2 linked regions of the Coturnix japonica genome follow. The protein of the gene in region 1 interacts with the protein of each later gene in a pairwise test. Links are inferred from orthologs where the notes say so. Each region holds a gene or a part of one and is shown in the gene's direction. Other genes may lie near its edges.

Region 1 (5,557 bases):
CCCACAGGTGTCAGGAATTTGTCTCCAAAAGGCTTTTGTTCATGTGGTTATTGAGACATTGAAGTGAAAGATTTCTCACTCAAACTGAGATTTCTCAACAAAATGAGAAATCAAAGAAACAGAACAAAATTTCTCTGGCACTGTGATACAGGTGGCCATCAGAAAGAGGACAGCCAAGTGCATAAGGAGTGCACAGCACAGCAGTGGTGAGCATCTGGAAATGTTGCTGGCATTACTATGAAATTTGGGTGCTGTTGTAGAAAAGAGCCTGTTTCTAGTTTCATAATAAGATGCAGCTTTTACAGATCTCTGAGCAAGGACAATACAGCACCATTGGGTGCACAGAGCAGCAGGTATTGGTCACCTTCACTGTTCAGTGTTTTGATTTTTCTGGCCTGATGTTCTTGGGCTGGAATTGAGATACGCATTTGCTACCTTTTCATTTAGATGTGTATGTAACTCCAGACTCAGCTGGAGTTCATGTTTTTCACTCCTCTTTCATTTTTGGCTCTGGTTTCTGGTGTGCTATTGTCACAAGTAAGATGAGGAGAGTCGGAGTGAGCTCTGCCTGGGGTCCAACCAAGTCACTTGCTTAGGATGGAGTTTTGGACGGCTTTAGAGTTTAGGCTTTGGGCCTGAAGCCCATGTGGTTGGTGTTTGGGTTATGTTTGAGCTGCAGTCTTTCAATGTGTGAACAAGTCCTTGTGGGGCAGGAACTGCCAGCACCTCTTTGTGAGGCAGCCACAGTGTTTCAGATCCCTTCTGCCTTACAGGTAAGGTATGGACCTCTCAGCAGGTTCACATCAGGAAGCCTCACAAGGAGGGTTATGGGGATGTTGGTGGCCTTCAGTGTCTCCATCAGCCTTTCTGACAGATCCATGTGGGAGTAGTAGCAGTCAGGGGGCTGTATGATGCAGTCAGGGTATGATGCACGTTGTTGGTACCCCGATCCTGGCTTGTATGGAGCCCAAATTACACAAGGATGAGACTGCTTGCAGCGAGGGCATAGCCGAAACATACTTGCCTGCCCTAATCAGGGCCAAGCTTGGGATCAGCGATGACAGCCCATTATGCTGTATTTTCGTGAGTACTTTGTATACATTATTCTTAATTGCACTCAGACAATGTGTCCGCCGCAGCTGCGTTGAAACAAAACAGTACCAAAACAAGACAACGACGGGAGTGAGGTCAGGAAAGAGCGGTGCGACATGGGCGGGTACCGCCGCTGCTCCGTTTGCTTGTAGCACAGCATGGCTGAGCGCTGCTGCTGCTGCTCCAGAGCCATTGCCAGCCCCTGTCTGGACAGTCAGCTGTGAGCTGGGGAGGGCTGGCCTGAGAGGTGGCACAGACGGAAGGCAGAGTGTTTATCGGAGAGAAAAGGTGTTATATTTTTATCACTAGATGTGCATTTTCATCACTAGAATTGAAATGTCTGTCAGGTTTCCCTTGTTTGTCTTAATGTTTCACTCCTGCATCCACCAGGGTGATGGAAGTCCTTCACTTTGCATCTCTTCTTGCTCCACAATGTGAGTTAGGGATTTTGCAGGGGAAATGCATCCTTGTTTTAAAACTGCTTCTTTCACTTGAATTTGCAATAACTTGGAAATGTTTCTGTTGGCTGTGGGTTTGGCAGAAGTTTGTTTTGATAAGCAGTAAGACCAAGTTAAGGCAGACATGTGGTTCTGGATCCCTCAGTCCTCACTTGGGACGTGCTGCCCCTGGGGATGGGACCACAGGACCCCTCGCATGCAGAGCCAGGCACAGCCATGGTAAACCCGCAGCTAAGTCTACTGCACCGGGTGAAGGTTCAACAGCCACTATGGCCTTCCAAGATCAGTTTGTGGGAGGCTTTTTGCAACGTAAGATCAGAAGGGAGCTATTATACTGAAGCTGTTTTGGCCTGGGTTTTATCAGAGGCCATGGAGTAAGTGATCAGAGCTGTGGCTCCAGTCCCTCCTGGACTTGCTGCCACAGCAGGAGGGAGCAATTCTTCCCTAAGCAGAGGATAACCATCATGCAGCCAGTATTTCAGATGGCATGTTGCTGCTTGACAAAAGAGGTTGTGCAAACAGAAGAAACCATTTTCCAGATTTCTCATGCACACCTAGAGACGCTACTTGGATGTCACGGGCTGTACTCTGCATTTTTCATGTCTGTTTTTATCTCCCACTTTTGGCCTTCAAATCATTTTGATATCAGGCAGCTGCGTGGAATTATGCTCTGTCCAGAGCAACTGAGAAGGAACATAAATCTGCAGTTCACCTTGGCCACCAGACAGCACTGGGCTCACTCTAGGGCTGCCCCCCGTTAGTCAGGTATCCTGCTGGGATTTCCATCCCTCTCTTCCAGCTGTAAATCAGGCAGCTGATTAATAATCACAGTGAGGGAGATAATTAGTAGTGGCATGTAGCTGTTTTATGGATCTTTCTTTTCTGGGAGCCAAACCCAACCATATGGAAAAATGTAGCTGAGACACTATAAATATGATTCCACTTAGACAGTTGTCTCTTTCTGTTTTCTGTTATCACAGCAGTGTCAGCACAAGGAAAACAATGAAAGTGAAGAGATGCTGTTGCAGATTTTATTACAAGTTTGAGGACTTTTTTCATTCTTCAAGGACATTGTGTTAATCTGAAGAAAGAAGGCTTGTCTTGTGTTCATTTATTCCTGCCACAGTTATTTAAGAAATAGATTCAGTGCTTATGCTTGAAGAGCTTTGCTTCTCTTTTAACTATTTCTGGCAGAATTAGAAAGATATGCTTTGTGTTTTGTGTCATGATAAGTTGTCTTCTCCAATAAGCCACATCTTAAACTCCATCAGTCCTCTCTGCATTCAAAGGCTTCTCCTGCAGTTGGACAGATGCTGGTGACCAGGTGTCTGTAGCACCAGCAGCAGCAAGGGAATATTTGCATGGAAAAGTGAAGTCAGCCGCACTGAGCAGATGGGCACCCATAGCAGCTGGACCCTCCAGCTGTATGGAGAAATCTTTGCACGAAGCCCCTTCTGATCATAGAGCCATAGAATTATCAAGGCTAGAAAAGACCTCCAAGACCATCTATTCCAACCATTCCTCTACCACCAGTATTCCTCAATTATACCTCATCACTTAGTACAACATCTAAATGTTTCTTGAACATCTCTGGAGGCAGTGACTCAGCCACCTCCCTGGGCAGCCCATTCCAGCACCTGACCACTCTTTCAGAGAAGAGAATTTTCCTAATATCCAACTGAACCTCCCTTGGTGCAACTTAAGGCCTACTCTAGTCTTGTCACTAGTTACACAGGAGATGCTTCATGCTCATCTTCATGCAACCCAATGAAAATAATAAAGCATCTGCCTTTTAGGATTCATTCACAGGAATGACTCCCCAGCAACAAGGTTCTGGTGAACATACAGCTTGACAGAGCTCAAGCAAGTGGTGAATTTATACCGTGTTTATGGGAGAAGGAACTGCAATGGGGGCAGGAGGGCTCCTCCCTTCCTTCTCACAGCCTTGTCTTGGAACAGATCTTGTTGATCTTTTGAAATAGTCAAGCAACTCTCTTTTCCACAAGGGAGTATTTTCTTTTGAGATGTATCTTTTTGCTTATGAAAGGGTTTAGAAATAGCTTCTGCCACAGGCATTCCCATCCAAAGCTTAAAGCATGTACAAAGCTCCCACACAGCTGCATCAGTGTGATACAGCTTGGTTTTTTTTCCTCTGTGAGAGGGAAGTTATCCAAAGTGGTATGAGGTAAGTGATGGTAAATCATAATTCGGTGCTTTAAAAAGTTAATTTAATTCCCTCTTAAAAAGCAAATACTGCAAGAGAATTTAAGTCACTGCTCCTAAGCTGACACAGAGAGCTCTGCGATTCATCCTCGTCTCATCTTTCTGTCCCAGGCACTGCTTCCATAAATCATTTCTCTCCTAAGACCTCTACTCAGCATACTACTTTTTCTCTGACACTTAACCCATTAGCACTGTGTACGGTATGTATTATGCATTGCCTTTTGTGCATGCCATATATTACGAAGAGCTTTCTATCCCTAAGGATTTCTGCAGCTATTTCTGTGAGTTTGTCCTGCAGGGTATTTTTATGAAAGTCATCAGTTAGCTTCTGCTATGAAAAAAGAGAGAACTGTAGCAGCAAATAGTAGGCCGAGCTCATTAGGTCACGATTCAAAGGTGGATTCTGTTCTAATGTTGTAAATGAGGTTCTAGGGGGTTCACAGGGCTGGAGGAGAAGTCACAGGTGCTGTCTCCTTGGGCCACTCTGTCTCTTTGGTTGTTTTATAGCCTTAATTAAATATTGAACCAAGAAGAGCACTGCGATCTTTAATTTACTTGGAGTGATGGTCTTTAGGAAGTCTGAGAAGGAAATGCCGTGCATTGTCCCATTCTTGCTGTCTGGGATGAGCCCAGAGCAGACAGCTGGGGTCACAAGTTGGTTATATCTGGGAGTACACTCCTCTCCATCAGAAATGGAGGATTTTATCATTACTAAAGCCAGGTCAGAATTTAGGAGCTGGATTTTTCCCTGGAATTGTTTTAGAACCAGCCTTGAGATTGGAGAGGACGAAAGAGTGTGGTACCAGGCTCCTGGTGTCACTGCATGGTGACCAGGCAGGCTGACCAGAGCTGAGATCAGGGTGACAGTCACATTTTGCATTCTGAGTAATTCCTCAGAACTGGCCAATCTCCATAATTAGGCAACATTTCAGTACAGTCTGTAATCACATCTCCTTTCCTTACCTTCTCCACAGATGCAAAGGAGCATCCCACTATGGCCTTACCAAGGAACGGAAGCGGCGTTCCCAGGACTGCTCCCCAGACCGCAGCTCCAGCCTGGCAGTAGCTGCTCTGAGCCCTGAGCTCTCTGCAGCTGCAGCCATCGCCTTAATGACCGATGAGCCGGGGCTGGTGAACCCAGCCTTCAGCCCCACCTCGGAGGACAGCCAGTCGGGTAGTGGCCCCAGGGACCTGCACAGCAGCAACCACAGCAGAAGTAAGGACCCAAATGGTTGGTTTTGGAGCCTGGTGGACTCTTCCAGCATCTGTTTTCTGTGAAATGTGTGTTGGTGGATGATGTTGTTTTAAATGGTTTTTCCAAATGGGCCTTCATTGACCCAATATATTTCAGGTGAAAAACAAATTTTCTTACCCAGGGGCAACATTAATCTGAAGGCTTGCACACAGGCAAATTGGAGGTCTCAAGAAAGATTATTAGGCAAGTTAGCTCCTTTGGGGTTTGTGAAGTGCCAGGGAGATGGTGCAGCAGTGTCTTCAACAAAACATGATGGCCGAAGTAGACTCTACAGACTATGTGATGGGCACCTATGCAGAAATCTTATGGGTACCATGTTTGGCTGTTGACAAGTATTTACAGTAAAACAGATGATAAGAGGTTTCTGGGAGCTTGGGGAGTGTTTGCCAGACTCCCAGAGAGGTGCACTTTAGAACTGTTGTTCCTGCTGAAATAACAACAGTTATTTCAATATGCTCCTCACCTTGTTTCTTCACCCTGTGGCATAGTATATCAGCTGGCTCTGATGAGCATTGTGACTGAAAAATAT
Region 2 (6,292 bases), on another chromosome or scaffold:
ATCAGCCCGTGGCTGAGATGCGAAGGGGCACACAGGTCCCCACACCAGCACAGCCCCACTGCTCAGCTGTCCCTTCCTGTGACTCTATCCTGCTGCTCCAGGTCAGGGTTGGGGTCAACACACTGTGTGTGGGGAGTGGCTCCCAGCATGGCGCTGACCCCCCTCTGGAATGCACTTTCTGAAGTGGCCTTTCCTTGGCCGCCCTACAGCCTTCCGGGACAGAGCAGTGCAGAGTCCCTGCATTTGGCATAGGGCCGACAGAGGGACAGACGCCTCTTAGGAAATTCCCTTCCCCACGGTTCAGTAAGGAGGCGGGAGGAGCGGGAAGTGGAGGTGTGGGCAAATGGGTCCTCAGCCACGTGCTGGGTTTGTCCGACTCCACAGCACTGGGGACAAACTTAGCGTGGTCCCTCCAGTTGTGGACCCAAGCGATATCCCCCACCACGCTCAGCATCATTCGGCTCCAGCCCAGGCCATGCTGACCCAGACGGAGCCTGGGAACGGGGCCCCAATCCCCAGTGCTGGCTTGGCCCCAGCTCCCGCAGGGCCCCGGGATGAAGGCATCGGGAGCCAGAATGTCAAACAACGCCGTGAGCCAAACCAGCTGCAACCCGCAGCCGGCCCTCCTCCATGGCCCTCCCTCCCTGCTGCTCCCCCAGGATTTAAGGCACGCGGGGATCCGGGCACAGCCTCCCTGGGGCTGCGGGCACTGGGGGCTGCAGCCAGGCGGGATGCAGGGATGGGGCACCAGCTGCCACTGGGTCTCGTATCACAGTGCTGCTGGGCAGGTCCAGGCCCTGCCTGGCCTCCTCCTGATGCGGGTGAGAAAGGAGCAGCCAGGGTGTCCCCCCCACTTTGCTGGCCCCCGGCCGTCTCCCTCCATCCCGCTCCTTTTACAGACACGAGCCTCCGAGGCGCCTTTACCCTAAGAGGGAAGGAGCAGGCGCCTGTTCTCTTAGGCGCGTGCTATTGTCTAAATAGGAGATCACTCTTCCTCCGTGCCTGGAGTGCAGCCCAGCCAGCATACTGGGGTCCCATGGAGCCCTGGGTGCCCCCAGAAGCCACTGTTTGCTGCTCCCTTCATGCTGTCAGCATGGGCACACAGCAGCCCCAGTCTACATCCCTCCTGCCCCAGGATTAGGGATGCTGGGGGTGGCTGCTTGTCCTTGAGTGCCATGGGGATGCTGGGGGTGGCTGGCTGACCCCAAAATCCATATGAATGAAGGGCATGGCCCCCTCAATCCATGTGAGTTGTCACCTGTTGATGTGTTGTCACCTTCATCCATGGGGACATTGTGGGGGCACTTGTTATGGCCCAGTGAGGATGCTGGGAGACAGCCACCTCTACGCCCTGTGAGGCTGCCTGCACCCATCAGCCACATCTACTGTGACCCATGGGGATGCAGAGATGTCCATCTGTGTCACAGGCCGTGGGGATGCCCACAGCTGTCCTGGCAGCCCACAGAGATGTGGGATAACTCGCCACCCTCACGGCCCAGAAGGATGCTGTGTTGTCCATCTCCATGGCCTCGATGGCATCACCCATACCAGTGAGATGAGGCAGCTCCCGTCCCACCGCATGGCTGGTGGTTGGCGTAAGGGCGGCCGTGCGCTCAGCCTCCAGCAATGCGCGGCCGCTGACTTCACTTTCCCATGCAGCGACACGTGTCCTGGGGTGGGGGCTCGGCAGCAGTCGGGTGCCATCCCTGCTCTCATCCCGGCAGGGCGGGTGCCTGGGGGGAGAAAGGGGCGGCCCTTCCCGGAGCTTTGCGCATCCATCCTGGCCGCCTGGCCCTTAACCCCTTCCAGCGGGGCTCAGCTCCAGCCGCACGGCCCTATAGCCACGGGAAGGGGCACGGCACCCGTGGGCGCACTCAGGAGCCCCGTGGTGGGACACGAGGGTCCGTGCCGCACTGAGCGCTGCAGGGTGGGGCAGTGATGGGGCGGCAGGTGCAGGGTGAGTCAGGGAGCACCCAGGAATAGCCGCCGGCAGCTTTTCCAGGAAGCCCCTGCGGCTCTGGGAATTAGCAGCCGCGTGCCAAGGCGCTGCCCTTTGCCCACTGCAGCGGGGCCACACCCGGCCCCGCCACTCACCCCGCACCCCCGGCACCCCGATCCCATACTCATCCATTGGGGACTAAGCGAGCACCCCCTGCCCTGGGGGCCCGCAGCTGATCCACATACCCCGAGCCCCCCGAGCCCCCCGGCAGGAGGCTGCAGGCCGTGGATACGGCACGCCCTGTGTTTAGCTGTGATGGCCGCGGTTGGCATGGAGACCCCCCAGCTGTCCTCTGGCTGTGTGCCCGGCAGGGGGGCCCGTTCCTTTTTATTTTATTGAGGGGTAAGGCAGGTGCTGGGCTGGGATTCAGGGCTGCCGGGGTCACGGCAGCCGGACCACCAGTTTCCAGGCCCAGATTCCAGTTTCAATGTGCCACCAAGGTCTCGCTTTGACGGGGGGTCAGAGAGGGGGGAGAGCGGGAGGGGGGGCGGGGCGGTGGCGGCCATGCAGGTACCGGGCGGGCGGCAGCGGAGCACGGGGTTGGGGGGGGGGTTCGGTACCGGGAGGGATGGGGGGGTTCGGGGAGCGGGGCGGCTCCCGGCTGAGCCCGGTGTGGGTGCCCGCAGGCGGTGGGTCCGAAGCAGGCCGTGCAGGCGGCGGCGCAGGAGCTGGTGAGGTTCGTCAACCGCGGCCCGTCCCCGTACCATGGTAAGAGCCCCCCCCGCCGCCCCTCTACCGGCTGTAACTGAGCCAGCCGTCTGACCGGGCCTTCCCCGCAGTGGTGGCCGAGTGCCGCAGCCGCCTGCTGCAGGCCGGCTTCCAGGAGCTGAAGGAGACCGAGCACTGGGACATCCGCCCCTCCTGCAAGGTGGGACCGGGGCTGGGGGGCACGTGGGGAGCGCGGCTGTCACGTCCTGCTCCGTACACCGCCCCCCTTCCTCCTCCCCGCAGTACTTTGTCACCAGGAACTACTCCACGCTCATTGCCTTCGCCGTCGGGGGTCGCTTCCAGCCGGGGAATGGGTTCAGCCTGCTGGGGGCACACACCGACAGCCCCTGCCTCAGGGTGAGACCTTCCCGATGCCTTATTGCTCTGACATCTCCCTGTCCCCCCCTGCAGGGTGCTGACTCCCCGCATTGCTCCACTTTTGCGTTCCCCTCCCTACCAAGCACTTCAAGGCACGCTGGTGGGCTCTGGGCATGCTCTTCCCGGTCCCAATCCCTGGTGTCATCTCTGCATCCATCCAGGTGAAGCGACGCTCCAAGCGAGGGCAGGTGGGCACGGTGCAGGTTGGTGTGGAGACCTATGGAGGAGGCATCTGGAACACATGGTTTGACCGTGACCTCACTGTGGCAGGAAGGGTGATCGTCAAGGTGAGCCCGGCTGGGGGCTGTGGGGTAAAACACGCTGCTGCTCCTGCCACCTCTGAGTCCTGCAGACCTGGCCCAGTGAGGCAGCTTAATGGTCCTGCTGGTATTTCAGGAGCCAAACACAGGGCGACTGGAGCAGCGGCTGGTGTGTGTGGAACGGCCCATTCTCCGCATCCCCCATCTGGCCATCCATCTGCAGCGCAGCATCAATGAGAACTTTGGACCCAACACCGAGCACCACCTGTAAGGCCTGGCTCGATCCTCACAGCTGCAGCGGTGCCCAGCCCCTGTTCTATCCCTCATTGCAGTGGGGTGGACAACAATGGCTTCACTTATAGTGAAGGGCTTGGGGATTAGCACTGGGGTGTCCTAAGGTGGCACAGTAGGTCTGTGCTTTAAGTTTAGAGTGTCCTTGCTCCATTCAGCCAGTCCCCAAGGGGTAAGCAATGGCCTGGCAGCTGCTGACACTGTCTCCCCACAGGGTTCCCATACTGGCTACTGCTGTGCAGGAGGAGCTGGAAAAAGAACCATCCACAGAGCGCACAGCTGGCGTTGCTGCAGCCCAGGTGAGTGGGTTCCTAAGGACAAGGGGGAGGCTCACTAAGGTCTCTCACATGCCATCTTTTGATCTCTAGTCCTCAGAGCTCCCTGCCAGCAAGTTCTCGTCCTTCCCATTCACAGCTACTTGCTCTCAGCTCCACTCAGAACCACTTACACAGCACATGTGCTCCACTGTTGTCTGTTCCCACCCTAGCCTGCATTCATCCTAAAGAAAAGTGGAAATCCCCCATAAAGCTGTCATGTATGGCCCCCCCTTTTCTCTCAGAGGAGGGAGGGGAGGTTGAACAATGGGAGAGAGCCCCTCACTATGCCCTGTGAGCACCACTGCTGCCCTTTGTGGGTTGAGTGCTCAGATGCAGAGTATGTGAGTAGACAGGAAGCCTAGGACTGCAGTGTGAGGAAGGAATGGGAAAGTTTCTCTGCCATCCATCACTTTGCACTGCCCACAGCTCTGCTGTTTTCCCAGACAGAGAGACACAGCCCTGTCCTGCTTTCCCTGCTCTGCTCCCAGCTGGGAGTGAAACCAGAGCAGATTGTGGAGCTGGAATTATGCCTGGCGGATACGCAGCCAGCGGTGAGTACAACAGAGCCTCCTTCTACCTGTATGCAACATGCCTGCAGGCTGGCACTGCCCAGCTCCCATGCACAGCACGCTTCCTCTGCCTGGGGCATGCAGGGCTGGGAGCTGAACCGACTGAAAGGAAATGCCTTCTAGGGGGCAGAGGTGGGGACTGGGCTGGAGACACATCACACCTGCTCTTTGTTGTCCCCAAACCTGTGCCCTACTCCTTGTTCTTTGACTGCAGACTCTTGGTGGTGCCTTTGATGAGTTCATCTTCTCCCCACGTCTGGACAACTTGCACAGCTGCTACTGTGCTCTGCAGGTGAGAGAAGGAAGGAAGGAGCCTTGGGGCTTTGTCATGGCCCTCTTGTGTCTTGACTTAGCTTTGCTGGTCTGTTAGCTGGGTCCTGTTGCAGGGATCCTTGCTCGTCAAAGGGCCTGGGGTTGGACAGTGGCTGCCCCCTTGTGCTGGGTGTGTGGCATTCCTAGCATCTCCAATGTACCCACAGCTCCTTTCCTTGGTGCCTTAGACTTTCCTGGGGATGTTCCAGCCAGTTCAGTGCTGAGCTTCCTAGGATGGGGTGGCACTTACGCTAGTGCTCCTTCTCCTCCTCTGTCTCTCCAGGCACTGATTGACTCGTGCACAGCTCCCTCCCTCTCCCAGGAGCCCAACGTGCGCCTCATTGCACTCTATGACAACGAGGAGGTGAGGGGCATAGCCGTGGGGCAGCTGGCACACACAGGGGCTCTGTGTTCTGTTCTCCTTCCACCAATGATTAGGACTTACATCCCAGCCACCCATGGAGCACCATAGGGTTTGCTCACCCCACCCTGGGCCTGGCAGGGAGTGAGTTGGAAGCCTCTTTGCTGGGTGTGGGGAGCTTGCTATCCCTCAGCTGACATGGAGCGCTGGAGGTGGCTGGGGTGTTGCTGGGTGGGTTGTGCTGATGGTCTTCCTGGCAGGTAGGGTCAGAGAGTGCGCAGGGTGCCGAGTCCCTTCTGACAGAGCTGGTGCTGCGTCGAATCTCAGCATCACCACAAAACCTGACAGCCTTTGAGGAGGCTGTGGCCAAGTCCTACATGATCAGTGCTGACATGGCCCATGCGGTGCACCCTAACTACGTGTGAGTACTCTGAACCCTGCCACGTTGCACGTGGGGACGCATCTTTTGCACTCCTGCTGGCGTAGTGGCAGGACAGTTCTTGTAATGGGGATTGCAGCATGAAACTCCTTCTCTTTTGCAGGGACAAGCATGAGGAAAATCATCGGCCAGCCTTCCACAAGGTGAGCGCAGCCTTCTGCTTTGTGCCAGACCTGCTGCCATCTGTCTGTTCAGCAGTGAAACACACAGACACTGCCCAGAGTGCAACTTGGCAGCAGTTTCACAGGAGACCTTTGTCCTGCCACACAATGCACTTGTGCCACATTGCTGGAGTTAATTACATAGAACCACAGCCCTATCTGTGGACATCTCCCTTGGCTTAGAGCTGGGGCTGTTCACTTGTAGGATCCAGGGGGTGGCACAGCATTTCTGACTGTGGGTCTCTCCTGGGCACTGGGCACTTAGAACTATGTAAGTAATAGAGTGTGTCCCTGTGCCATAGCTCTGCATCTTCTCTTTCGCAGGGCCCTGTCATCAAAGTGAACAGCAATCAGCGCTACGCCTCCACAGCTGTCACTGAGGCAGTCATCCGGGACATCGCGGCCCGTGTGGGTGTTCCCCTGCAGGTGAGCACAGCTGGGTGAGCACAGCTCCATCACCAGTTCCTGCTGAAGCCGGGTGCTGGAGGGCAGGACCA

What was found.
Region 2: the proteins of LNX1 (region 1) and DNPEP interact in a two-hybrid assay, tested with the Homo sapiens proteins (3 studies listed by BioGRID and IntAct). The link is inferred for Coturnix japonica from reciprocal best matches to the Homo sapiens genes LNX1 and DNPEP.

Annotation. Positions count from the first base shown.
Region 1 is NC_029519.1:59,282,604-59,288,160, forward strand, and holds part of LNX1 (E3 ubiquitin-protein ligase LNX), read left to right. Parts: intron 1-4,747; coding exon 4,748-5,004; intron 5,005-5,557.
Region 2 is NC_029522.1:24,542,813-24,549,104, reverse strand, and holds the start of DNPEP (aspartyl aminopeptidase), read left to right. Parts: upstream 1-2,481; 5' UTR 2,482-2,503; coding exon 2,504-2,509; intron 2,510-2,625; coding exon 2,626-2,707; intron 2,708-2,778; coding exon 2,779-2,867; intron 2,868-2,950; coding exon 2,951-3,064; intron 3,065-3,246; coding exon 3,247-3,372; intron 3,373-3,481; coding exon 3,482-3,612; intron 3,613-3,850; coding exon 3,851-3,935; intron 3,936-4,396; coding exon 4,397-4,504; intron 4,505-4,736; coding exon 4,737-4,814; intron 4,815-5,117; coding exon 5,118-5,198; intron 5,199-5,455; coding exon 5,456-5,616; intron 5,617-5,737; coding exon 5,738-5,777; intron 5,778-6,119; coding exon 6,120-6,221; intron 6,222-6,292.